Linked DNA regions of Zea mays. Each later gene encodes a partner of the first gene's protein in a complex. Links are inferred from orthologs where the notes say so. Each region holds a gene or a part of one and is shown in the gene's direction. Other genes may lie near its edges. The genes, in order: 50S ribosomal protein L4-like; 50S ribosomal protein L27, chloroplastic; 50S ribosomal protein L9; 50S ribosomal protein L5; 50S ribosomal protein L1, chloroplastic-like; 50S ribosomal protein L13, chloroplastic-like; 50S ribosomal protein 6, chloroplastic-like.

The links.
Region 2: 50S ribosomal protein L4-like (region 1) and 50S ribosomal protein L27, chloroplastic share a complex: the UniProt entries of both Arabidopsis thaliana proteins name them as parts of the 50S ribosomal subunit. The link is inferred for Zea mays from reciprocal best matches to the Arabidopsis thaliana genes RPL4 and RPL27.
Region 3: 50S ribosomal protein L4-like (region 1) and 50S ribosomal protein L9 share a complex: the UniProt entries of both Arabidopsis thaliana proteins name them as parts of the 50S ribosomal subunit. The link is inferred for Zea mays from reciprocal best matches to the Arabidopsis thaliana genes RPL4 and RPL9.
Region 4: 50S ribosomal protein L4-like (region 1) and 50S ribosomal protein L5 share a complex: the UniProt entries of both Arabidopsis thaliana proteins name them as parts of the 50S ribosomal subunit. The link is inferred for Zea mays from reciprocal best matches to the Arabidopsis thaliana genes RPL4 and AT4G01310.
Region 5: 50S ribosomal protein L4-like (region 1) and 50S ribosomal protein L1, chloroplastic-like share a complex: the UniProt entries of both Arabidopsis thaliana proteins name them as parts of the 50S ribosomal subunit. The link is inferred for Zea mays from reciprocal best matches to the Arabidopsis thaliana genes RPL4 and EMB3126.
Region 6: 50S ribosomal protein L4-like (region 1) and 50S ribosomal protein L13, chloroplastic-like share a complex: the UniProt entries of both Arabidopsis thaliana proteins name them as parts of the 50S ribosomal subunit. The link is inferred for Zea mays from reciprocal best matches to the Arabidopsis thaliana genes RPL4 and emb1473.
Region 7: 50S ribosomal protein L4-like (region 1) and 50S ribosomal protein 6, chloroplastic-like share a complex: the UniProt entries of both Arabidopsis thaliana proteins name them as parts of the 50S ribosomal subunit. The link is inferred for Zea mays from reciprocal best matches to the Arabidopsis thaliana genes RPL4 and PSRP6.

The regions. Positions count from the first base shown.
Region 1 is NC_050096.1:38,266,338-38,270,476, forward strand, and holds the start of 50S ribosomal protein L4-like, read left to right. Parts: upstream 1-1,339; 5' UTR 1,340-1,365; coding exon 1,366-2,272; intron 2,273-4,139. Other genes in the region: Peroxisomal nicotinamide adenine dinucleotide carrier, read left to right, coding at 1-33. UniProt on the Arabidopsis thaliana protein: This protein binds directly and specifically to 23S rRNA. May play a role in plastid transcriptional regulation.
Region 2 is NC_050103.1:167,360,501-167,364,209, reverse strand, and holds 50S ribosomal protein L27, chloroplastic, read left to right. Parts: upstream 1-1,496; 5' UTR 1,497-1,558; coding exon 1,559-1,852; intron 1,853-2,693; coding exon 2,694-2,795; intron 2,796-2,904; coding exon 2,905-3,081; 3' UTR 3,082-3,209; downstream 3,210-3,709.
Region 3 is NC_050100.1:222,785,531-222,789,755, reverse strand, and holds 50S ribosomal protein L9, read left to right. Parts: upstream 1-1,425; 5' UTR 1,426-1,497; coding exon 1,498-1,641; intron 1,642-2,167; coding exon 2,168-2,295; intron 2,296-2,608; coding exon 2,609-2,654; intron 2,655-2,900; coding exon 2,901-2,998; intron 2,999-3,178; coding exon 3,179-3,226; intron 3,227-3,319; coding exon 3,320-3,440; 3' UTR 3,441-3,497; intron 3,498-3,583; 3' UTR 3,584-3,808; downstream 3,809-4,225. Other genes in the region: Chaperone protein dnaJ A7A, chloroplastic, read left to right, coding at 730-775; methyltransferase WBSCR22, read right to left, coding at 4,200-4,225. UniProt on the Arabidopsis thaliana protein: Binds to the 23S rRNA.
Region 4 is NC_050096.1:5,387,174-5,390,548, reverse strand, and holds 50S ribosomal protein L5, read left to right. Parts: upstream 1-1,348; 5' UTR 1,349-1,451; coding exon 1,452-1,757; intron 1,758-1,887; coding exon 1,888-2,088; intron 2,089-2,244; coding exon 2,245-2,589; 3' UTR 2,590-2,875; downstream 2,876-3,375. Other genes in the region: glycoside hydrolase, family 28 precursor, read right to left, coding at 2,947-3,375. UniProt on the Arabidopsis thaliana protein: Binds 5S rRNA, forms part of the central protuberance of the 50S subunit.
Region 5 is NC_050101.1:154,265,258-154,269,266, forward strand, and holds the start of 50S ribosomal protein L1, chloroplastic-like, read left to right. Parts: upstream 1-1,209; 5' UTR 1,210-1,264; coding exon 1,265-1,591; intron 1,592-1,691; coding exon 1,692-1,871; intron 1,872-1,958; coding exon 1,959-2,013; intron 2,014-2,572; coding exon 2,573-2,700; intron 2,701-3,046; coding exon 3,047-3,130; intron 3,131-4,009. UniProt on the Arabidopsis thaliana protein: This protein binds directly to 23S ribosomal RNA.
Region 6 is NC_050098.1:202,897,711-202,901,728, forward strand, and holds the start of 50S ribosomal protein L13, chloroplastic-like, read left to right. Parts: upstream 1-1,218; 5' UTR 1,219-1,324; coding exon 1,325-1,549; intron 1,550-2,032; coding exon 2,033-2,218; intron 2,219-2,784; coding exon 2,785-2,955; intron 2,956-3,738; coding exon 3,739-3,855; 3' UTR 3,856-4,018. Other genes in the region: uncharacterized protein LOC100285659, read left to right, coding at 1-156, 263-519.
Region 7 is NC_050099.1:216,898,364-216,900,645, reverse strand, and holds 50S ribosomal protein 6, chloroplastic-like, read left to right. Parts: upstream 1-1,210; 5' UTR 1,211-1,282; coding exon 1,283-1,648; 3' UTR 1,649-1,782; downstream 1,783-2,282.

The DNA.
Region 1 (4,139 bases):
GTTAAGAAACTACCATCAAAGTCATCAAGATGAACTACGGGCATCGCAAGCGTTAGTATATCATCCTAAAAAGCCATTTATTATCCGCATAAACCGTAAACAAGGTCGACAAGCTATAGAGCTCGCCTCTGCTTTGGATATGTCAACTGTAGGTTACACAATAGCCAGTATGATTCACGTAGGGACCAAAGACTATGTTGGATAGATATTTGTATCATTCATGTAGAATGTATCGTGGAAGATCGAAACAGAAGAAAATAAATAAGTATGATAATTTGAACTTCGGCCATCTGCTCTAAACTTCTGATTTCCTGACTTGCTTTTACCTTATGGTTTGTGCAAGGGTGGCAGAATATCTGGAAAAAAAAACTATCATGAGAATGCAATCCGCAGTCATCTATTCAGGTTTCTTGACCTGCATGACTTTGCTTGTTACCTTGTCGGTAAGGAGACGCGTGCAAGTTGGTTATCATCAGGAAGCCAAGGGAACGTAGAACTTCTGATTAAGGCTGTGCGCAGCGGTCACCGCTAGCACTCCCCCTCCCCTTGCATGCCGTCTGTAGGGGGCACCCTACGGCCGCAGCGGTGCCCCCTACAGCGCCCCCTACGCGTCGGCACCCTTCTATCTCCCCCCAGATCTAGCGTGTCACTGTTCATCACCCTAAACACTGTGCTGTGGGTCCACGAGTAATTGTTAGTAGATAAAAAATTAATAGTTGATATAGAAAATGATATTTTATAGTTGTAGTGGGGTATAGGGGAGTATTTAGGGGGAACCGCTGCGGGAGATGAAAAAATAGGGAGAAAAATAGGGGGGAAAAGTGATATAGGGGGAAAAATTTAGGGGTAACGGTTGCGGATAGCCTAATCCTTTTTACCTAGAATTTCTGAAGATTCGTTTTCACCCTTTATCTATCCCAGCTGTGCTGAAAGCATTGGGCACTTGCAGTTGAGTCTGCAGGTGCAGCTGACTTAAGTGCACAGGCACGGTTTCGTCTCCTCCCGTCCCGTGTCAACCAGTTTTAGCAAACTGCAAGCAAATAAATTCACTTAACACGGCAAATGCCCTTTCATTACTTGTAATATTAATGGATTTTTAAGGAAAAATTACTCAAACTTGTGAAGTGCGACTGCGACTAGCCGACTCGGCATGAGACCTGACTCGGTGACTCCTGAGACAGTTGACAGTGTGCCTTCTTGTGGCGTTGGCAAGTAGGGACTACGAGTCTGTCTGGGGAGGAGTGGCCGAACCGAACGGGTGGATAACAAAGGGATAGAGAAGCGGCAGCTGCAGAGGCAGAGCGTCAGAGCCATCGTCCTCGCCTCACCCCGTAGTCCCGTACCTAGCGCAGCGAAGCCGGCACAATGCCAGCCGCCGCCGTAGTCTCCCCTCTCCTCCTCTCGCTCTCCTCGTCCTCCTCCCCCTTCCTCTCTTCCTCATCCACCTCCTTTTTCCCACCCTCCTCCGCTGCCGTCACTCCACACGCCGCCGTCAGGACGAGGGCGGCTGTCTCCGTCCTCCGCGCGCTGCGCGCCGAGGCGGCCACCCTCCCCGTGCTCTCATTCACCGGAGAGAAGGTCGGGGAGGTAACCCTCGACCTCAAATCCGCGCCACCCTCCACCGCGCGCGCTGTCGTGCACCGCGCTATCATCACCGACCGCCAGAACGCGCGCCGAGGCACGGCCTCCACGCTCACCCGCGGCGAGGTCAGAGGCGGAGGGAGGAAGCCCTATCAGCAGAAGAAGACGGGGAAGGCGCGGCGGGGGTCGCAGCGTACCCCGCTTCGTCCCGGCGGTGGCGTCGTGTTCGGCCCCAAGCCCCGCGACTGGTCCATCAAGATCAACCGCAAGGAGAAGCGCCTTGCCATCTCCACTGCCATCGTGAGCGCCGCCAAGGACGCCTTCGTTGTCGAGGAGTTCGAGGAGGCCTTCGCGTCGGGGCCCAAGACCAGGGATTTCGTGGCCGCTTTGCAGCGGTGGGGGCTTGACCCGAAGCAGAAAGCCATGTTCTTTGCCACGGACTTCGACGACAATGTGCGGCTCAGCGGCAGGAACATTGGTTCCCTCAAAATGCTCACACCCAGGACGCTGAACCTGTACGACATACTCGACGCACGCAAGCTCTTCTTTACTCCTGCTGCTGTAGACTACCTCAACTCCAGGTACGGAGCCAGTGTTTCCGATGACTACTATACTGATGACGAGGATGATGGCGAGGAGGAACTGGTCGAGCAAGAAGCAGAAGAAGGCACCACAGCAGATGCTGCTCCAGGTACATAGCTACAGAGTATGCTTTGCTGGTTGCAGTGCGCTGCTTGATTATTCCTGTACTGGCCATATATGGGCTCTCTGCTAGTAACTGCTATCCTTCAGTTAGTACATGTCTCAACAGGTTGAAGGAGAATAGCAAATGGTAGTGCTACGAAGCAGTAATGCCGATTGGATTGAATTGCATCACCATTATTTTGGGGAACATTTTATCTACAATGTAAATTTGAATGGCATAAAACCACACTACTCAAGGACCAAGACATGGGGTTTGAATATCGGTTTTGTACAGGACTATGTTTTGCTGAATAAAAATGCACCTCTTACCATATTTCTCATTTTTCTAAAAGAGAGTGGCAGGAGCTCTGCCTTGCATTGAAGGGAAATAAGATGGTTTTGTCTGAATGGCAGACACGCCTCAACATAAAATAGGACAACCACAAATTTCATGAGAGAGCCAACCTGCAAAGAAACAAAAACAAGACACAATTGTTGTGGCGGCCAATGATGTCGGTGTCACGGCGGGAGAGGGCGTGGTCGACCGTATGGAGACAACTGGGGCAGTATTACACCGTGAAGTTGAAGCCGAACAACTTGCTCACCCACTGGTGCCGCAGGATCGTTGAGAGGCGTTGATCAGGCAGGAACTTCACGCTAAAGTGGTTGGTGCAGATGAGTAACCGGCGCCCCCAGAGATATGGGCGCCAATGACGCACGACTTGCACCAAGTCGATGAGCTCTCGTTCGTAGGCGGCGATCTTCTGGTGTCATGGCACGAATGGTCAGCTGAAGTAGGCCAGTGGTCCTGCGCCCTACTGAAGGATAGCGCCGAACCCTATGCTCGTCGCGTCACACTCCACGACGAACAAGGTATCGAAGACTGGCAGATGGAGGACCGACACAGTGGAGTGTGCGCGCTTGAGTGCGGTGAAGGTCGTCTCAGCCTTCGGTGACAAGTGGAAGGTGTCCTTCCCTAGCAAGCTGGTGAGTGGCGCCACGATGAGGTCGAATTCCTATATGAACTTCCTGTAGTACCCCATAAGGCCCAGGAAGGTGCAGCCAAGACGTGACGGCCTCCACCTTGTCTCCATCCATGGCTACGCCATCTACGGAGATGACGTGCCCTAGGTATGCGACGGACGTCATGCCAAAGGAGAGCTTGCCAAAGAGGGAGTGTGCATGGAGGCGTCGAAAAAGGCGTGTTGCAGATGAGTTGACCACGAGTCGTTGTAGATGAGAATACATCAAAGAAAACAAGGACAAACCAACGGAGTAAGGGCTGCGTGACTTCATTCATGAGGCTCTAGAATGTTGCCTGCGTGTTTGCCAACCCAACTGGCACCAACAGAAACTCAAAGTGGCCATGGTGGGTGTGAAACACGGTCTTCTCGATGTCGCCTGTGTGCATGCGGATCTGGTGGTACCCGGAGCGTAGGTCCAGTTTTATGAAGAAATGGGCGCCATGGAGCTCGTCAAGGAGCTCATCAACGACGGGGACGACGAGGATTGGGAACTTGTCCTTCACCGTGTAGTCGTTGAGGAAGCGCAAGGAGTCGATGTAGAAGAGCAAGGAGTCATGCTTCTTGACGAGGAGCATCGATGTGGAGAAGGTCGACGTGCTAGGCTAAATAACGCCCTAGACCAGCATGTCGACGACTTTGCACTCCAATTCGTCCTTATGGACCTACGAGTAGCGGTAGGGTCGGACAGCGACTGTTGTCGTGTCTGGCTGCAAGTGAATGCAATGGTCACATGCACGAGTTGGTGGCAATCCAGAAGGCATGGCGAAGACATCGATGTTGGCGAGAAGATCGTCAAGGAGTGGTCGCGGCTCAGGCAGAATAGTGTGGAGGGCTATCGACGTCGTTGCA
Region 2 (3,709 bases), on another chromosome or scaffold:
TGAGACTGAGTGACTGACGCACCGTTGCCGACACACACACCAAACCCGGAGGAGGCTGGAGCAACGGCAGTTCCAGAAGAAAAAAAGGTACCAAAACCTGTCACTCATGGGGAAGGGATCACATTCACATTCACATTCACCAATCACCATCATGGCCGGTCGGTCGCGGCGTCTCTCTCTCTCTCTCTCAATCCTTCTCTTTTTTTACAGTCACGGCTGATATGATCTTGGGTTTTATCTAACCCTCCCCATCATTCTCGTTTAGACCCAGCCTGCCTGCTTGCTTGGCCTTTTCGTGTCCTTTTCAGTTCCAAACTATTCACCGTGCAGTGGCAAAGATCGATATGGACTAACATTTTACAACCGCAAGCACGCTATAATTTGTCACAAATAAACAAGAGTGGGAAAAAGATAGAGGAAATGCGTTGTGTCGGTCGGGTCCGGCCGGGGTGGGGTGCGGGTGTGGGTGTCGCCGGCGAATCGTCAGACGAGGCAATGATCGCCGGCGGTCAATGTCATCTCTCCGTCCCCCTGCTGACGGTGCGTGCGGTGCGGTGACTGCTGCTAGTACAAGTAGTAGCAGCAGCCTGTGAGCGCCGTGCGCTGCTGCCTCTTTGAAATTTCTGGCATCCCTAGTGCCGCCGGAAATCTAACGCACACGGAGACGGAGGAGTAAACAGTGCAAACTGCAGCGAGTGAGCGGATGGAGCGTCTGGACTCTGGAGAACACGAGATTATTAGTGGGTGGTGGTGGTGGTGGTAGGGCCCTGTTTGCTTGTGTGGTCTGGTCTGGGCCATGATTAACTTGGACCCCCAAACGCTCTGCATCTCCCGCGCTTTCGTCAAGGATCCTAATCATGCCATGTGTCGGTCGTCTCCTCTTCTTCCGGCTCCAGCTTTGCCGTTGCCGCCGGTCAAGCCCATCATCATGCCTACTGCTTCTCTTGCTCTTGCTCTTGCTCCACAACAAGCCTGCCTGTCACTCTAGCTAGCTTCCCCGGCTATCTCCCCACGTGCCGACGCTAGCTAGCTGTGGCCATTCAGCGTCTCTCTGTGCAGCTCCGGAGGGAGGAACAAGATGATGCCCTTTTGGTTCACATATCATGTTTGTTTAACTCTAACTGAGCCTATTCAGACTTATTATCGTTGGTACTTGAATGTGAATCATTATCGTTACCACTTACGTTACATATCATGAACCAAACACCACCACACTGATCATTTTGTTTTCCCCCTGAATGATTCCTTCGTGAATCCTGTGTTGCCTTGCCTAAAACTACAAGGACCAAAACCGGCCAGGAGCATAACACCATTTCCCTCCCTTCCAATTCGGCCAGACACTCTGCAAGCACCACGAGGCCCATCTGCAAGTAAGGCCCAAAAACTCCAGGACCCAAAACACTGGGCCAACCACGAACGAGCCCACGTCTCCCGACTGCATCCCTTCTCCACTCCGTTATCACCAGCGCCCACACCTCTGTACCTCACCGCCTCATCTGCTCTCTTCCCCCGTCTTCTTCCCAAGCTGCCACGTTGCCTCCCTCCGCTCCAGCGGCCCATGGCCTCCATGGCGTTCGCCCTGGCGGGGGCCTTCAAGGGCCTCTCCCTGGCGCCCACCACCACCACCTCCTCCTTCCCGCGCTGCGACCGCGCCTCGCTCTCCGTCGGCGGCGCAGCGGGCGTGCCGGTGCCGGTGCCGGCGCGGCGGCTCACCATCCAGATGGCGCACAAGAAGGGGGCCGGGAGCACCAAGAACGGCCGCGACTCCAAGGGCCAGCGCCTCGGGGTCAAGATATACGGCGACCAGCTCGCCAAGCCCGGGGCCATCATCATCCGCCAGCGCGGCACCAGGGTCCTGCCCCCCTCTTGCTCCCTTCGCTTCCCTTACCTGTTACTGGTTTGCTTTGGGTTAGTAAGACAGCCTAGGCTCTTGCTTGCGTGGATTATGGTACCTCGTTGACTGGCTCTGCTGGGCGACATAGCTCTCTCTGCCTAGCGTTTGCTTGCTGCTCACCTGCTGCTGCTGCTGCTGATGCAGGTTAAGCATATTAACCACCGACCAGTACCTTCATACGGATTACGGACTGCGAATGCTAGAATCTTACGATGTACCTAGAATGCTTGCCATTGCACATGTTACGTTGGAATGTATGCTGCCATTGTGCATATCTGCATTTTCCATAGTTTACCACTCTGCAAAAGCAGGAAAGAAAAGATTGCAGTTTCTTGCATACATCAGATAACGGGAGGGGAAAGTGCACACACAAACCTCGCTGGGGAATGTAACGTACTAACCTCAATGCCCTATGGAGCCAACTGGTGGTGACTTAGGGGGGTGTTTGTTTGGGATTATAATCTGCCCAGGTTATATAATCCAACAAATTTTGAACTAAACACCCACCTTACTCTGCACACATGGTCAGACATAGCTGTTCAATATTAGGCATACTGTAAGATGGTCGGTCAATCCTTGTAAAAGATATTTCATGAACTTACATGTCTTACGATTTGGTTGGTCCGTCCTACTTACCAGCGCGCTTCAAATATTTAAGATGTTTATATATTATGGATACTACATGGTTTATACCATCGTGTCCCTTGTATAGAGTTCGTTTTGGTCCCCGTTTTGTGGTCTGTCTGTTCCTTGCCGTTTTTAAGTTTTTTCTTAAAATAAAATCTTTTGGACATTTCAGGTCTATCCTGGAAATAACGTTGGAATGGGCAAGGATCACACACTCTTTTCTTTGATAGATGGACTCGTCAAGTTTGAGAAGTATGGGCCGGACAAGAAAAAGGTTAGCTGTATCTTAGTTACTACATACTGAAATCTGCTTTTACTTGCATCTGACTGAGATCTGGTTGCACACCAGATATATGCTCATCTCACTACCTCTCCTTTCATAGGTTAGTGTTTACCCATATGAGAAGGAGCCTGAAAACCCAAACAGTTACAGAGCAAGGAAGAGAGAGTACTTCCGCATGCGGCGTGAACGGAAGAAGGCGAGAGCGGAGGGCGCCGCTGAGCCTCAGTTGGTACTAGCTGCTGTTGATGAAAACTCTGAGGTCAGCGCGGACTGCTGATAAGTTTCCTGTGTGGTGTTTCTCTTTTTCACAGCCCTTGTTACACTTTTTCTTCCTTAATTGTAAGACCACATGATCTATAAAGGTCATATTTACATGTGTTGTTTAGATAAATGGATATGTTCTACTTGTACTTTTTGTGGGGTAGTTGTGCTTTAGAGTCACAGTGGGGGTCTATTCCAACTTCCTAGACCACTCCACGTAGGGCGTGTTTGGTTCGGCTTTTTTCTGAATAGCTTTTCTGAAAAGCTGGTGGTTAGAATTTAGGTGTTTGGTTCGCCAGCTGTGCGGAAAAGCTGTTCGTTAGAATCTAGGTGTTTGGATACACAGATTCTCAGATTGCAGATTCTGTTTGAAGAAACTATACACATTAACACCGAACCAACAAAAGGTCATTACATATAATTAGTGGAGTTCATTACAACATAACTACTGTTACATTTACATATTTAACTACGGCACTAATGCATTAGCAATTGCATCTCGAAATGCACTCATGTCTAACTCATCAGATGTGATACTACTACTCTCACCTACAGATACATCATGACCAAGGCTATTAGGTCCTAGTTCATCAAAGTCTCTATCGTGTAGAGCACTGTCTCTAATGAAGTTATGCAATGTCATA
Region 3 (4,225 bases), on another chromosome or scaffold:
TCTCTTTTTCTTAACTAAAGGGTAATGAGGTAACACCGCGCTGAAAAAAAAATCATTACATTGAGCATATAGGTTTTGTACTATACTTCCCTGTTCTGGACTTCTGGTGGTATAAAGTATAAACTACCTAGTTGTTTATGGCAGCCGTTACATTTTCACGTACTCCTTTATTAAAAGGGAAAATTACAAATTAAGTTTCTTAAAATCTGAACGCCTTTCTCTTCACGCCTGCATTTTAAATTATCCAGCCTGCGGCCGTGGCTTCACGCGTGTTGGCTGATGTATCTCTGAATATTACTGTTCACCGATCGCTGTTGAACGACTTATCACTTTACCTGTTCTTTCACGCACTTCGAAACTGGCGCAGCGGAGCGCCCCGTCCGGTCTAGTGTAGTAAATAGTAATGGGAAGTTGAATGCAGATGCCTCTTTTATTGAAATCTGAACCAACCCAACTTAATCTTGTAGTAATGAACTATATTTTTGGTCACTGCATTACATTTCCGAGTATTCTTTAAAAGGGGAAATTACACTGTAGTAATGGGAGATTTGAATGCAGATGCATAACCTCTGTTGAAATTTGAGCCATCCTAACTGTGTTAGTTGTGTTCGAGAAAAATAAAAGGTTGGCTGAGTTCGAGAGGAAAAAATGTTGATTGATTTAGTTCATCAGACATTTTTGTGATTGGGTTATCTCTTGTATTCTGACCTAGATGTTGAATTCTTTCAGGTCCATTGTTAATGGCGCTGCGAAGTGGCTGAACGACAACCTGTAGGCTGTAAATATTTACTGCAGGATAGAAGATTGTCTTACATGGTGCTGTAGTCCAATCAAAGTTCTTAGATTCATTGGGGGTCCCCACGAGCTCGTATATTCGTTTTATTGGAGAGCTGCAAGATTTTCAGGCTGAGTGGCAACCGAGGGAGTGAAAGTTGTCAACTAATATCGTCGCGGCGTTGGTCCCTTGTCATTCTTGCCAAGCAATTATTTTTATGTAGTTGGAGTCCTTTTCAGTCTGGCAAGCGGCGTAGAAGTCTGAAGCTGTGGGATGCTGATCCCAAACCCCGGGACTAGACAAACACTGTACTTGAGGTTTTGGATTAATCAAATTCACCGATATCGAATTGCAAACTTATCCAACTTACAAGATGCGATGGAACTATTTATTAGAAATACGTTTCGGTGATATCGAATTCTCAGTTTCGAGAAAGGGCTATCACGCCGGCAGTTCACGCGGCTGGATCCGGGCACGGCGACCGCGCAGGCTCCCGCCATGGACGCAGCGCGACAGGCGAGAGAAGCTGTGAAACGGGCTCTACGGAGCCGTGACATTATCCATTCCAGATCGATTGGGCCGCCGCCGCCGCTTTCTCATTTCCGGGCCCAAACCATTATTTAGGCCTCTCGCGAAGTCAGTGGATGGATAAGAAAGGAAAGCGGTGCGAGCGGAGGAGGCGACCGAAGCGCCACTTGCTTGAGTAGCGAAGCGCGAGAGCAATGGCGTCGCTGTCGTGCGCCTCCACGCTGCCCTGGACCCCCGCCTCCTACCCGCGGCCCTCGGCGGGGCGCTGCCTCACGGCCTCTCGCCGGGCTCCGTCGCTGGTCATCGTCGCCCAGGGGAAGGTCAAGAAGTACCGCCAGGTCGGCCCGGGCTTTCCGCGTGTTCTTATGTTCGAGTTCTGTGCTGATTTCATCTTAGCAATCAGTTAATGCACGCGGGTTGCTGAGGGCATCATAACCTGCCGCGTTTTAGTTTTCTTCTCTAAAAAAATTGATGCACCGCCGTCGGTACGTTTGTATATTGTGATCAATAGATACAAATGAAGTTAGCTAGCTTAGCTGTCTCACTGGCAACAGGTAAGATATAGTGGCTCGCACAATTTAGATGCTCCAAGAGTTGTACTACTACTACTACTAACCAGGCTTTTAGGCAGGGGATTTAGATACTAGGGATGAAATACCTTTGATGGGAGCCTTGCCTCACTAGTTGGAGTTCAGTTCATAAGTCGTTCCTTTTGCTGTGTTTGCCTGATTGTACAAGAATGCAACAACGGTGCATCCAGTTAAATTGACAATGTGGTGCTTATCTTGTGTAGCTATTACCGCCACCCTTAGCATTACATGTGATTTTACCTTTCTCCATAAAAAAAACAATTCTTTCCCATAGGTCATATTGACAGACGACATAGAAGAGGTGGGGAAGAAAGGGGATACACTGAAGGTGCGAGCTGGATTCTACCGCAACTTCCTCCTTCCCAAGGGCAAGGCTACACTTCTGACCCCAGAAGTCCTCAAGTAATTGCTACCAGCTCTCGGTTATCCCTCACTTGCTTTGCTTTGTTAGTTATGTCATTTAATCCTCAAGTAATTGCAAAGTCCACACTCTGTCAAATGATTCAGTGGCTGCTGGCAACCGTATGACCTTCTCTGTGGTATGCTTAGTTTGACTCTGAGGTTTGGGACCTAGGCACCTAGCAAAACTAGATTGAGATATGAATCCAATCCATGCACCTTTCTAATAGAATTGCAATGGTCGACACACATACTGTTTGATTCGATGGGTAAGTAAGATTGCGAATGAATTTATTGCCTCTACTTCTCTTCGCAGGGAAATGCAGCTGGAGCAGGAGAGAATAGAAGCTGAGAAGAAGCGGGTAGGAAAAAATATTTTACTCAGTAATAAATGTAGTTGCAATTTAACCTCAGCGACCTTTTTCTTTGTCTGGAGAGTAAACTTCAATTGCAGTTTATCCTTACTTTCCTTATGAAAAGAAAATATAGTGCCTTTATGTCCTCCGTAATTTAAGTCCTAAGCATGATATGTTCATGAAATTCTATCAATGCATTTTTATCAGTTTTTGTTTATAATTATGGCCTTAAGAAGTCCTCTATTTACATAGGTAAAAGAAGACGCGCAACAACTTGCTCGAGTTTTTGAAACCATTGGCGCTTTCAAACTCCCTCGCAAAGGTGGAAAAGGAAAACAGATCTTTGGGAGGCAAGTTCTAAGTTGGACAATCCATTATTTATTCTCTCTTGTCTCAGGCTATCTCTTACAGCTTACCCATCTCCATCTCTCATTTCAAACTCTACTTTGTACACACTGCAATCTATAGTGTCACTATCTGCTGGGTATAGTCTTACTTTCACTTTTCTGACGATATCTTTTATTGTACAGTGTCACGGCACAGGATGTTGTTGACATAATAAAGTCACAACTTAATAGGCAAGTGCATATGCTCCTAACTCCTAGGCAATCTTAATAGCGTTTCTCATCATTATATTGCTTCTCTTACTGCTGGCACGCTGTGTCTTGTAGGGATGTCGACAAGAAGCTGGTGACGGTTCCAGAAATCCGTGAAATCGGAGAGTATGTTGCAGAGATCAAGCTTCACCCAGACGTGACAGCGCGAGTAAGGCTGAATGTCTATGCGAAATGAGCTCAGCAGTTACAGAACCTCGAGTAATGGACTTTGGAGAAGCCTGATGTTTGCCAGGCGAGCTCATTTGCCGTTGTTCTTTCCTTGAGATTTGGCTCTTAGAATTCCGCTGGTCTTGCTCTTACACAGTTGCTTTTGTTTAGTGCAGAGATTTTGCTGCAAGTGCCAGGTGCTGCGGTAGACATGAGGCCTGGTCTGGCCGTGACTTGCCTGGTTTTGATACACAATTCACTGGCTCACTGCGCATCCTATTCCCTACCGTGTGAAGTCAAGTTTTCAACAATTATATCTGTTGATTTTGAGGCGGAAAATATAAATTGTTGTAAAGAACAATTTGTTTGAACTGTAGAGCACTACTTCGCCAAAAACGACCCTTCTTTCTTGTCCTCTAACCTTCCCCACCTCTACGTCTGCATCCACTACAAAAAAAAGGCAAGAAATTTGCTAAGTATGGGGCTCCATAGAGCGTTATTCAGATTGGAACACCAACGTACTTGACACATGAACTGCGTTTCTTTTAGCCAAAGTCTGGGCGTCACCAGCGATCTGATACAGATTCACGCAAACCAACTGTATTCATCTCAACATCCACGTTCTACAAAAATGACAGTTTCACATCGTTGTCTAAAAATGCAATGACTCCCGAATACCAGTACAACTCCTCGCTTCACCCTTTACAAAAATCCTTCTGCTTCTGCTAAATGAACTAGCATCATAACTGAACAGCCAGCATTGCAGGCAAGGGGGCATTGCACAGAGCTAGAAATAGCCTTTCCGCTTACGCC
Region 4 (3,375 bases), about 33 Mb from region 1:
GACCGTGGGGCAGTACACGTGGATATGATAACAACAAGTAGCTAAAAGGTAGTGAACCTCTTGAGTTTATCCCTACGTAACCCTCGCCGACTTATCTTCGCATGGCTCCGCTGCATGGGGGCTTCAGCGCGGGAAAGTCGGGTCTCTGTTGCGATTTACTCGCTCGACGTTGTGGGCCATTCGGGTTTGCACCAATCCGGTATCACGTCGCTCTGCTTTGTTGGTTGTTTCTCCCCAGGCCCACAAAAGAATGACCTTACGATTTATTGGGCCCTTGGGCCTTTCGTGAGGTCTTTTACTCCTTTAGTGGACCCGGGGGATATCTATCCCCCACACAACAGCCTTAGGCTCCATGGCATCCAATTGTGTTGTCACATGGAGCATAGGGTGTCCACAACCCCTGTCACGATAGTTTGGAATATTGCATCTCATTTTTGGGCCAACACAACCAACACACTAAAGACATCAATCATGGTTGAAAGAGAAGAGTAAGGCCATGTATACAAAGTACACAAACTAGTCTACTTCACGAGTGAGGTCCTATTAAAGTCTAAAGTACGATACCCGCAAGTCTAGAAACCACTCTACACCCTACTAATCATATTGCACAGACTTTGCCACTAGGTCTGGACGAGAAACTTGTGGATCCATAACTCGCTCTCATTAGTGGCTTGATACATCTTGGCTCGTTTGAAATGAGTCACGAGCTCAGCCAACATTTTAGTTTGGTTCTTAACGAGCCAAACGAGCTGCACAGCTGCCCTGCGGCCCAACGAGGCCCAAGCGTCAAGCGACCTAGCCCAACCAAGCGAGACGTAGACGACGAACCACATACGACAAATCTACTATATTCAAGCTTGAATATTCAGTTTTCAACATTTTATTTTGATTTGTATATCAATCTTTCAATATTTTATTTGATTTATATGTGGTGTGTCATGACCAAGCAATAGTGCATGACAATCTTGATAGCAAGCTACCATTATGGATTCTAATTGAACTATTTTTGTCATGCACTTTAGCTTGAACATGTGTAATCAGTTTAATATATGGTTACCTCTCACTAAAAAATATATATGTAACGTCATCATGGGCACATGTCCCACATATCAAATATTAAACTGATCACACTTGTTTTTTAAGTTGTTTTTTACACGCATGACCAGCTCAATGACTGTTGTTAATCACGTATTCACGATATTAGGTTCGTTGTTAGCAAAACAAGGCTGTATTATGATGTTAATCTTATTGATCCACTAAACAATCTTGGCTTGGGCTTGATGGGCTTTAGCCATCTCTGTATCCTCAATGGGTCCAAGTCCAGAGCACACGAAGGCCTAGCCCAGAACCACTGGATTGGCCACTGCCAGCGGCACAGCCGACGCCTTATCCAGCAACCGTCTTCCTCATCCATGGCATAAGCCGCGCCCGCCTCCGCACGCCCCGCTCCGATGGCAGCCGCGGCTGTGACCCTGCCCTCCTCGGGCACGCCCTTCGCCGTCGCCACAACCGCCTCTTCCTCATCCGCCCGCCGCTGCCTGCTCCTGCCCTCCGCGGCTCCCCGCCGAGCTCTCCGCGTCGTGGCCTCCGCCGCTACCGAGGCGCCGCCCAAGCCCACGCAGCCGCCGACATCGCCCTCCGGCATCGTGCTCGTCGACCCATCCGAAGCCCAGAAGGTGCACCGGCTCAAGGCCGTCTACGACCAGAAGGTCGTCCCGCTCATCACCGAGGAGTTCGGCTACACCAATGTCCACCAGGTGCTCGACCGTCGACCCTGCTCCTCCTCGCCGCGGAAAGGCCCGCCGTTCCTCCTTGTAGCTAGGCTAATTTGCTGGCGTGGTAGGATTTTGACTTTTGATGAGTCGTGCGGTTGGTTCGAACGGCTAGGTTCCCAAGCTCGAGAAGATTGTGGTGAACTGCGGTCTGGGCGCGGAGGCAGGGAACTCGAAGGGGCTGGATGCCGCCATGAAGGACCTGGCCATGATCACCGGGCAGTGGCCCGTCAAGACCAAGGCCAGGAAGTCCGTGGCCAGCTTCAAGATCCGTGAGGGAAACACCATCGGTATCGCAGTCACCCTCCGCGGCAGGGTGAGCCTCATCCATTGCTCATTTGGCCTCGGAGTGTATTTCGTGGCAGTTTGGAATATGGCAGCTTAGTATAATCTGCAATACAAGTGGAAATTGTGAGCTCGTTTCACTGGTACAGGGCTCATTTCTTTTTCTTTTTTTTGTCCTTGGCTGTAGATAATGTACAACTTCCTGGATAGGCTCATCAACCTTGGGCTCCCTAGGACCATGGACTTCCTGGGTGTCAACCCCAACAGCTTCGACGGGCACGGCAACTACAGCCTTGGCCTCCGTGACCAGGGCGTGTTCCCGGAGATCCCGTACGAGGTGGGCGGGAAGAAGAACGGCATGGACGTGTCCATCGTCACCAGCGCCAAGACGGACAACGAGGCGTTCAGGCTGCTGGTCCTCCTCGGCATGCCATTCTCGGAGAACATCAAGACCGACGTGGTGATCCGGAAGAAGAGGTTGAAGCGCCACCACTTCCTGAGCAAGGGCAAGGGGAAGGGAGGACGACGGTGAGGAGAGGAACCAGCCAGCCAGCCAGCCCATGGTTGCACACGCTCTGTTCAGCTTGTTTTAATTCCGATCTTTTTGCAGAATTTGGCTTACAAATTCGATGCTGTTGTTGTCTGTCAATTATGTAACTTGTGCACCTATGAAAAAGGTTTGCAATGATCATGTCCGTTTTGCTGATTTCTTCTTGATGCATAATTTGTAGTCACAAGTTATACCACTGCCAGACATTGTAATCGGAGGAAGCAGTAATGTGAGACGGACACTGTAATGCAAACGTATTTCAGCTGCATTTCTCATACTGCTTGTCTAGACTATCACCGAAGAGCCTATATGATCAATGATCTCTTTTGGCAATCGGCCTCAATAGCTACACTTCGGCAGCTCGGGTGGGCCGATGACGAGCTCTTCCTCCGGGAAGGCGCACGGCTTGCCCTCCGCGGCGAGCTCCGGGCACGGCTTGGGCGAGACGTGGGAGGTGACCCCCTTGACGTTGGTGCAGTTCCACTGCAGCTCCTTGGCGTCCGGCGCGAGGCGGGCGGTCACGTTGGATATGCAGATCCCGGTGTAGGGGTCCTTAGGGATGCCCTCCATCCTGCCGGCCATGGTCACGTTCTCGGCGAACACGTCGCTGTAGTTGATGCCGGTGACCTCGGGCATGGCGTTGGGGTCGGACGTGTTGTCGGGGTGCTGCCCGTAGTTGCCGGTCATCCAGAACACCCACTTCATGGTGTGGAGGCTGAGGCCGCGCACGAAGATGTCCCTGACGAAGCCGCCCCTCCCGGCGCCGGA
Region 5 (4,009 bases), on another chromosome or scaffold:
GTACCACAAATGGATGTGTGCCATAGTGGTAGGAGCCCTGCCGCGTTGGACGGACACGGGCGCTCACGCGTAGAGGTGGTAATGGATCACGATCCAAATGCCTCTTCACAAAAGTTAAGGCCCTTAAATAATATTAGTTCAAAAATGAATAAGAATAGAGCCCGACCCTAATCCGATTCGATCCTTAAAATTTGCAGTATAAAGTTTATAGCCCATTACCACCCCTACTCACGCGTGAGAGACACATGGCGACGCACAAAGAAAATTCTATATTAAAAGTGTAGTGATATATGAGATAATTTTCTCTCTCTCCCTCTACATGGTGGCAGCAGGGGAAAAAGTTGGAGCTCCTGCACTTTCTAAAGTTCATTGTATGTATGTGGAGTGGTGTGCCATTGAAACAACCTAAAGTCTGATTACAAAGTGAGAAAACCACATGTTATGGTCACACTACCAATGTATTACAACATAGGCCTCAGAACTATAGGAGGAATTGACGGTGGAGGCACGAGTGAAGGGGAGAGGGCGACGGGGACGCGAGGGAGGGAGAGGTTGGAGGCGACAGATTGTGGGAAAGGGAAGGGTGACATGACAAATGATAGATGATCTAGATAATATTGTTCATCATTGAATTTGAGTAAGGGTGATAGAGTTATCCAGCTATCTGAATTTGTTTGGTGGATAATCTAAATAATATAGTAGTATAGATATAGAGTAGAGTCAAGGGCCACACACAAACAGTTCGCAGTCGCAGGCTGGCAGCCACAGCCACACATGCGTCCCTCGTCGCTGCCGCTCGAACCCACACGCGAACCGCGACCACACACCTGTCCGGCTGCCTCGCGCGCATCCGCATGGCTCTCGGTCCTCGGGGCTGAGCCAAATCAGGAGCTCCGAACACCTGCGCGCGTCTCGGCCCAGCCAACTCGCCGTGTTTCTCCTTACCCGTCGCCCGCGCGGACACGACACGATCGCACACTCGTACACCCGCTCGTCCCAACTCCCAACCAAGATCAGGCAGGTGACCGGGCGTCTCGGTTGAGCCAAAATCACTGGAATCAGGGGGGAGGAGTTTTCCAGGCGCGGCGCCCGTCATCCCTGCCCCTGCGAGGCTGCGACCGCGAGCCCGCCCACGACCAGCCCTATCCGATGAACACCCAGGCCGAGATCTTTCGGCTATAACCAACCCGCGCTGCCACTTCGGCTTCTCTTTCTATCCCTCCACTCCCTCTTATCTGCTGCGCCATCCTCCCCGGCCTCCACCATGGCCACAGCCGCCGCGGCCACCGCCTCCTCCTCCCTCCTCGCGCCGGCGGCCAGCAGCACGGCGCCGGCCTCGTCAAACGCGCTGCTGTTCCCCTCCTCCGTGCCGTCGCTGCGTGCGTACCCGCGGCTCCTCCTCGCGTTCCGCCGCCCCGCCGCGGCCGCCATCGCCGACCCGCAGGGGGCCGTGCTCGAAGAGGAGGCGGAGGTCGACCAGCAGGGCCAGTACGACGACGACGACGGGTATGAGGGCGGGCGCGGCCCCGCGTTCACGGCCCCCACGCGCCCGCGCACCGGCAAGGCCGCGCTACTGCTTAAGCGCGACCGCGTACGCATATCGCCGAATACCCCACCCTCCGTATATGGTTCCTGTGGCTTGCTTGCTTGTGTACGGCCGGTGATGCTGTGCTAGTTTTGATGGTGCGCAGACGAGGTCGAAGAGGTTCCTCGAGATACAGAAGCTGAGGGAGAGCAAGAAGGACTACGACGTGCCCACCGCCATCTCGTTGATGAAGCAGATGTCCAGTGCCAAGTTTGTTGAGTCAGCGGAGGCGCACTTCCGCATGAATCTCGACCCCAAGTACAATGACCAGCAGCTCCGGGCCACGGTATTGTTTCTTCTTTTCTGGCCTTCTCTTTTTGGTTGCTTGTGCCCTGTTGCGTTCGTTAATTTGTGCTGGTCGTGGTGACCACAGGTGAATTTGCCCAAGGGAACAGGCCAGTCGGTGAAGATTGCGGTTCTCACACAAGGTGGGCGGTGATTGAAACACAACGAAATCCTGTTGAGCGATAGTTAGTACAAACTGAATTCACTGTGCTAGTGGGTCATATGTGTGATTGTTCTGTTTGACACTATTGCCTTGCCTCATGTGTGACTATGGGTTTAATCTGAAACACGCTTGTCTTTATTTTTATGCAAACATTGTGTGCTGATGACCCGATTGGTTAATTTTGTATTTTTTTTCTTCTTAAAGTACCATGGCTTCTTTCAGAGTTCAAATGCAACATATTGGATTGGACAAAGTTAATTCATCTTTGGCATCTTGGTAGAAGAATTTAACAATCAGTTTATTATGTTCATGATGTTTCTACTTCTTTGTTTTTTACAAGAAGTCACTTGGGAGTTGGGATGGTGCTATTTTTGTGCTGTCCACTTAGCAAACCCTTGTTGAATGACTGAAACTTCTCTTTCATATCCTTTGTGAAAGATAGTCATGTTTTTCTTGTCATTATCATAAAGATGGTAGCACCAGTAGTTGAAATAATCATGGTCATTATATGCATTAATAGTTATTTTCTGACCTCACAGGTGAGAAGATAGATGAAGCTAGAGCTGCCGGAGCTGATATCGTAGGTGGAGAAGATTTGATTGAACAAATAAAAGGAGGATTTATGGAGTTTGACAAATTGATTGCATCACCTGATATGATGCCTAAGGTATGAGCTATTAACAGTTCTGCCTTCATTTCAATTTACTGTTGGATACTACCACAAAATTTGAAATGAAATATTTAGTTGTGCTTACTATAGGTCCTAAGTGTCTTACCATGTAAACTGTTAATTTTTTTGTTTTCTATAGATAAAATAGATTGGCTATGCCAATCTAATTTCGGAATACAAGAATACATGTGTGAGATGTTTCATTCTTTGATAACTAATGCTAAACTAAATGTCCAAAGTTCTGTATATATTTGTTGCATTATTTGACATGTTCGTAGAAACTTTCAATGTGGGCTCCCCTTTAAATGATTATCAGCCTGAGTTATTTCTGTTTACTTTTCAGGTTGCGGGCTTAGGTAAGATTCTAGGACCAAGAGGACTGATGCCTAACCCCAAAGCTGGCACTGTTTCTTCAAATATTACTCAGGTATTGAGGAAGTCAATACAGATTTTGTTTGCCTCAGTTTTTTTATCGATATTCTAAATCGTTTGTCTTCATTGCTTAGTCTGGGCACTGTGACAAGATTTAAAACTTCATGCCCTTGTAGTATTTACTGACTTCTAGGATTCATGTACAAGTAACTTCCTACCTTTATCAGTTGCATTTACTTTCCTGTACTCCGATAATTCAAGGTTCAGGCATGGTGTTTTTATTGAACACATGTTTGTAATTTAATTGTGCATAGCAAGAGTTCAGGAAGTTGAAATAGTTGGTTTTACTGATCGCCGAGGAAACTAGATGAGACACATGTTGGAAGATATGAAGCGTTATCAGTGGTAATAATATGAGTAAACTACACTGGCGGTCCCTAAACTATTATGTAATTCTCATTTGGGTCCCAAGCTATGAAATTGCATATCTAGGTCCCTAAACTATATAAGTATCATATCTTGATCCAAAATAACCACATCACAGTCCATCAACTGACGTGGCACTCCAGCGTGAAGCTGACATATGGGTCCATAGTTCATAGTTACAAGGGCTGTCTAAACTATCATAGGATTCTCAGCTAGGTCCCAAACTATAAAACTACTCATCTAGGTCCCTAACCTATTAAAGTACTACAATCCTAATCCAAATTTTATAGTTTGAGACTTTTGTAAGAATCCAATGATAGTTTAGGTATCATCCTTGTAATTATGAGTTATGGACATGCATGTCGGTTCCACGCTAGAGTGCAATGTTAGCTAATGAACTGTGATGTGACTGTTTTGCACCGGGATGGGATACTTAAATAGTTTAGGGACCTAGATATGCAATTTCATAGTTTGGGGATCTAAATGAGAATCGTGCGGTAGGTTAGGG
Region 6 (4,018 bases), on another chromosome or scaffold:
TTGCTATCTCTGAACATGGAGCACGGAGTAACATATATGATGAGGGGAAAGCTATTGTTCAAAAGCACAAGGCTACCCCTGAAGAGGTAGAGGTACAATTGACTCGGTATCGTCAAGATGGAATGCCGGACACAAAAAGATTGCACGGACTGAAAGGTCAGTCTGTTAATCTTTCTCAAACAATTGTTCTTTTGCTCCTGTGGAATATCTCTGTATATGTTTTCCGAACTGTTATAATGAATTTACCCGTTTGATTTTTCAGCTCTAGCCGAAGCCTCTGTTATTGTGAGGGAACTCACCCCTGCAACGAACCATTTCATGTGTGCTTGGTTTAATGAAGTGGTTCGCTTCACATCTCGTGATCAGCTCAGTTTTCCATACGTTTTGTGGCGGCTAAACATGCATGGATTGAGCATGTTTCCTGTATGCACTCGCAGGGATCTTGTGAATAGTTTGGGTCACACAAGGAAAGTAAAACCTCTTACACAGACAAATTCAGGGTCTTCTACTACTTCGTAACCTTCCTCCCAGTTCATTTGCTGGTAGCCAACTAACCATTGATTTACATATGGTTCTAATCGTCGATACTCGACATCTCTGGTTCACAATTTTGTTGTTGTATATTATCATCTTTGCGTTCTTCCTGCGAGGGAATCCTGGATCTGAACCAGAAACACGTTAAGCTGTTGCTTCACTGCAACGCAATCACACGATGTTGCCACTATATATGTAAAAGATATGCTTTCTTTGGTTAGAAGAGAATGAACACTTTTCTGCCTCCTTTCCGTTTCCTGATGGAACATGTGAAAATGGTGTCCGTTATCAATTAATTCGGCTTCTGCTGCTGATGGTTGTCGCGGAAACTAGCAGCAATGGAAGTTCTGTTCCCGTCATTTTATTTGGACTCGAGAATTTCTCTGATTACCGATGTTTCTAATTGGTACTTGAACAGCGGAATCGTTTGAAAAAAATATGGTCCTGTCTGAAGCTATATTTTGTTAATGCAGCTCCCTTTGCCCAATAGTAATACATTGAATTTCTTTTTTTTAGATGGAATTATGGAACCGCCATTATTCTGAGTTTGGGAAGAGTTTCAAAGGAAGCGTTTAAATCTCAGATGAGCTGATAAGGTGTCGTAATGGGCCAAATCTGCATTTCGTTCTGAGCCCATGAAGCCCATATGTTCTTGTTAACCTTTCCCTGTTCTTTGTCTCCTATCCCCTTATCCGCTTGACGCTCCCCACTGCGCCTAAAAATGGCCGCGTCCCACTGAACCAACCGTCTGCACATCCTCCTCCTGTTGCCGCTCGCTCGCCGTGCCGCAATGGCTACGGCCGTCGCCTCCCATACGTTGCTCTCCTCCGCCTTCGCCCCGCGCCACTACCACCGCCGCCTGACCCGGACCGCGTCCGTGGGGCCGCGCCGGGCCGCCCCGGTGGGACTGGCCGTGCGGTGCGAGAAGAGCGACAAGCAGAAGAGGCAGCCGCTCGCCGCGCTCGTGCCCCGCGAGCAGCGCTTCATGTTCGAGGGAGACGAGCTCTGCGGCCCCGTACGACGCTCTCTCTTCCTCTCTTGAAACAATGTGCACATTTTCACAGCTCGTTTTGCAGGATTGTAACCCTGGACTGACAGTGTCCATCCTATTTTGTTCATGTTTCACCGTGGCCATCTTAATCCACCTCAGAGGCTTCGACTATCCTTTTATGTGCATGATGAAGGGCAATCAAGTTACAATAGAACTGCGTACATTATATATGTTATCTGCCATGTGCCATCATATCCAAAATTACCCATGGGCTGTTTGTGGTGAGAGAGAATTCATTAAAAATGAGCTTAATTGGACATGCAAGTCAAAGTGAACTGATGGTTGCCAACCAGCCTGTTCATAATTGTGACTTGTTTAGGATCAGTTACTAATACTATGGGTACAAAGTGAATGGTTTGTTTGTACTATGCCTTGTTCTTTCTTCTAATGAATTACTCCACAAGTAATTGTGTCTACTGAAATCTGATTCAGTGATTTAATTTGCAGGACATATGGAATACAACCTGGTATCCTAAGGCTGCAGATCATGTAACTACCGAGAAGACATGGTATGTTGTTGATGCAACAGACAAGATCCTAGGCAGGCTAGCATCCACCATTGCAGTACATATCAGGGGAAAGAATGAACCCACTTACACTCCTAGTGTAGACATGGGAGCTTTTGTTATTGTGGTAAGCGTTCTCTCAATACCTATAGTGTTTGGAATCCCTACAGTTAACAGGTAGCCAGCTAACAAATTGTTAGCTGGGTTGAGCCAGCTAATGAACTAATTGTTAACTGTGAGTTAGCTAACAATTAGTTGTGGGTGTTTGGAACCTGTATAGCTAATTTTAGCAGCTAACTATTAGCTGTAGAGGTTCCAAACAGGGCCTTAGTATACATGCTTTACTTCCCTCAGATTATTTGGTACTGAGGTGAGTAACCTTCCTCAAATAATCTTCAACTGTAGTTGTGTTTAATGTTTATGTTAGCATAGTCCTTTTGTGACTGGTGCATCTCTAAAGGCTCATTACCACGTATTCCCTCAGTTCCAAGTTATAAGACTTTTTGGATTTTTTTTGGATCCATTACTTTTGCTACGCACTTAGACATAATTCATGTCCAGATATTTAGTAACAACTATGTATCTAGAATTACCAAAACATCTTATAATTTGGAACAGATGGAGTAGATGATATGCATTATTGTGTTACACTACAATGCTGAGAGTCATTAACAACCTTTTCTATTCACATAGGTCAATGCAGATAAGGTTGCTGTTTCTGGTAAAAAGCGGTCACAAAAGCTTTATAGGAGGCACTCCGGAAGGCCTGGAGGGATGAAAGAAGAAACTTTTGACCAACTTCAGAAAAGAATTCCAGAGAGAATCATTGAACATGCGGTTCGTGGCATGCTCCCCAAGGGAAGGGTAAGAAAAAACATCTACTAGCTGATTGCCTCAGGTCTACATGTTCTCTTTCTCGTTTTAGTGCGCATGTTATAATGTATGCCAAATATGAAAATGACAACCAAATTTCCTGGTGACCTTTATTTTAAGGTCCCAAAAATTACAATTTGGTATTAGTTAGCAGATGTGAATTTTTTCTTTTGAGATTGAGAACTACTATAGTTAATGGTGAGGCCTTGTTCGGTTATTTCAATTCCATGTGGATTGGTGTGTTGGGATGGATTGGGATGGATTTTGACTTGCTATGGATTTAAACCGACTCAATACCACTCAATCCACATGGATTAACGGCGAAACGAACAAGCCCTGAAGTGTATTGCAGTCAGAACATTGCTCATGCATCAGCATGTACCTCCCAGTGAAAGCGTGACATTCAGAATAAATCACAGTACTAAATTCAAGGGAATGTTGTTATTGAACAAAATTAACAAGTCCAGATTGAATTAGTTAATTATCTTGCCGATCTTTTTTTTTCTAAGTTCGCAAAGGTGTGTTGCATGAACTCCATAAAAATTGCCTATTAACCTTTTTCTTGCAAATTGCTTCTTAGTTCAATTGTTTGGTAGTATGGATGCGTTTACTGAAACTCACATTATGGCAGGCAAATATCTTGTTATCTGAAGCATCCCCCCTAACCATTCCATTTTTCTTGTTGATGGCAAATTTGATTTAACTTAGTTTTGTTATGTGCTATATACTTGTTATATTTACATTTATATGCTCACCTTTTTTGCCAATTTGCAGCTGGGAAGAAGATTATTTACCCACCTCAAGGTATACAAAGGGACAGAACATCCGCACGAGGCTCAAAAACCTGTCCCACTCCCGATCAGGGATAAAAGAATACAAAAAACTGGATAGAGAATTCATCGACTGAAAAGGATGCAGTGGCGAATTCCTCCCCAGAAGGTTTTGCCCTTTGTTTGGAATGCTATCCTCATAACCATGCCTCTGATCGGGGAGGGGGGGGGGGGGAGTATAAATCCTCTTTGTAATTTTGATGTTTACCAATGCATGAAATTCA
Region 7 (2,282 bases), on another chromosome or scaffold:
ATTAATGAGTACTTGCCGATGTGGTGATGTCTGAAATCTAGATAGTTTGTGTTACATGTTAGTACCTAGTTATCCCTTAAGGGCTTGTTCGGTTACACGAATCCAGAAGGGGATTGGAGGGGTTTAAATCCCCTCTTAGGGCTGATTTGGTGACCCGGGATCCCGGGAGGATTGAAGGGGATTGAGGGGAAAATTAGTTTATTTCCCCCTCAATCCCCTCCAATCCTCCCGTGATCACCTTGTCACCAAATCAACTCGGTTGATTTGGTGACAAGGTGATCACGGGAGGATTGGAGGGGATTGAAGGGGAAATGAACTAATTTCCCCCTCAATTCTCTCAAATCCCGCCGTAATCTCTGGTCACCAAATCAGCCCTTATTGGCTAGTTTGGAAACTCACATCCTCTTCGGGATTGAAGGGGATTGGAGAGGAAATTAGTTCATTTCCACCCCAATCCCCTCCAACCCTGAAGGGGATTTGAGGTTCCCAAAGTAGCACTAAGGGTTAGTTTGGAAACTCAAATCCCTTCAAGATTGAAGGGGATTGAAGAGAAAATTAGTTTATTTCTACCTCAATCCCCTCCAATCCCAATGGGGATTTGAGGTTCCCATTGACTAGGAGGGGATTTAATACCCTCCAATCGCCTTCTGGATTGGTGTGCCTGAACATGCGTTAATTGGAGATGGGGACCCATTGGGGACCCAAAACCCGAATGAGGATGAGTATGAGATGAATTTTGCACCCATAATGGGTATGAGGATGGACTAAATATGATAGGAATGAGTTTGGGATGCTATAACCCGATGGAGAATTCTCCATTAACATCTCTAGATGAGTTAGAGATAGCTTTAGAAGTACAAGCTAGTTGTGCCGAAACATTTTTCAACAAAATTCGGGAGACAACTGATCGTTGTACCAAAAGAAATATATTATGTACCCGTGAGCCTCATTTTGTTTTGTTGAAGCTTCATCAACGGCACATCTTAGACCACGGAATTTTATAATATAAAAAGGTGACATGGCATTTTATGATAAGAAGAGGGCAGGGGACTAAACAATTACAAGTTTTTTTTAAAAGAAGTGGAGATATAAAAAAGGAAAAACACTCGATGAGTGAGCGGTCAGATGATCGCACATAGTGTGGGCCAGATTTCGCTCAGCGTAGCAAATCCCGCAATCACAAAACCCAATCCGAAACAGTCCTCCTCCCATCTTATCCCAAACACAACCCACACTACTACCCTACCCGTCCGCCTCTCTCGAAAGCGCAGCACCAGCGAGCATGTCGCCTGTCACCGCACTCCTGGCGGGCACGGTGGTGCCGCCGGCCTCGGCCCCGTCGCCAGCGAGGCACGCCCGCCATTACTCCGTCGGCTTCTCCCCGCTCCACGGCGGCGGGCGCGCGGCGCTGGCGGTGGAGTGCTCGTCGCGGCCGCAGAAGAAGGGGACCAAGCACCACATGAAGACGCGGCCCAAGAAGACGCAGCCGTGGGACATCAAGCGCCGCCCCACGCAGTACCCGCCGCTGCCGCCGCTCCCGCCGGACTGGACGCTCGTCGCCTCCGGCGCCACGGTGGACGTGGAGGAGGCGGAGGCCCCGGCACCCGCCGCGACTCTCGTCCTCGACGTGGCCGCGGCCACCGACTGAGGCCGCCGCGGCGTGTCGCCAAAGTTGTTCCCTTGAACCTCCGCATAAGCTGTTTTTCTTTGAGATTTATTATATAATAACAATGGCTGCCCAGATTTTGTGATTATAAATTAAGAATCTTTCATTGCTGTCCAGATTGTGGCTGTCACCGCGTCCAATTTAGTGCGTTGCTAGATGATTTCTTGGTTGCATGCTGTGTGCAACGCTTATTCCATGCCGTCAGTGGCAGTGCAGACTGCAGAGTGATTAGCTACTCCATCTCCATAGTTTGCCAGTTAAGTTATGATGGGATATGGATTACGCAAATATAGTCTTCAAAAGGGGGGGAAAACAAGCAGCCCAACGAAGACATCTGCCTCTTGTTTGACTTTAGGAGCTGGCTCTGTTTGATTTGGACAATTGCCTGATATTGGGGAAGGTTCGGTAAACAGTAAACTCAGCTTAGATGGCAGGAACAGCCATTGAACACTGCAAATGATAGGAAATTTTAGAAGTAACCTAGTTGTTTGTAATGTTGCTTTTGTTGGAGCATGATTGTGCGAATTCCATATGCTACCTGCCTACCTAGGGATGGCAATGGATACGGGTATGGGTAAATAACCGCGGATAATTATCCATTGGATATGAGTATGGT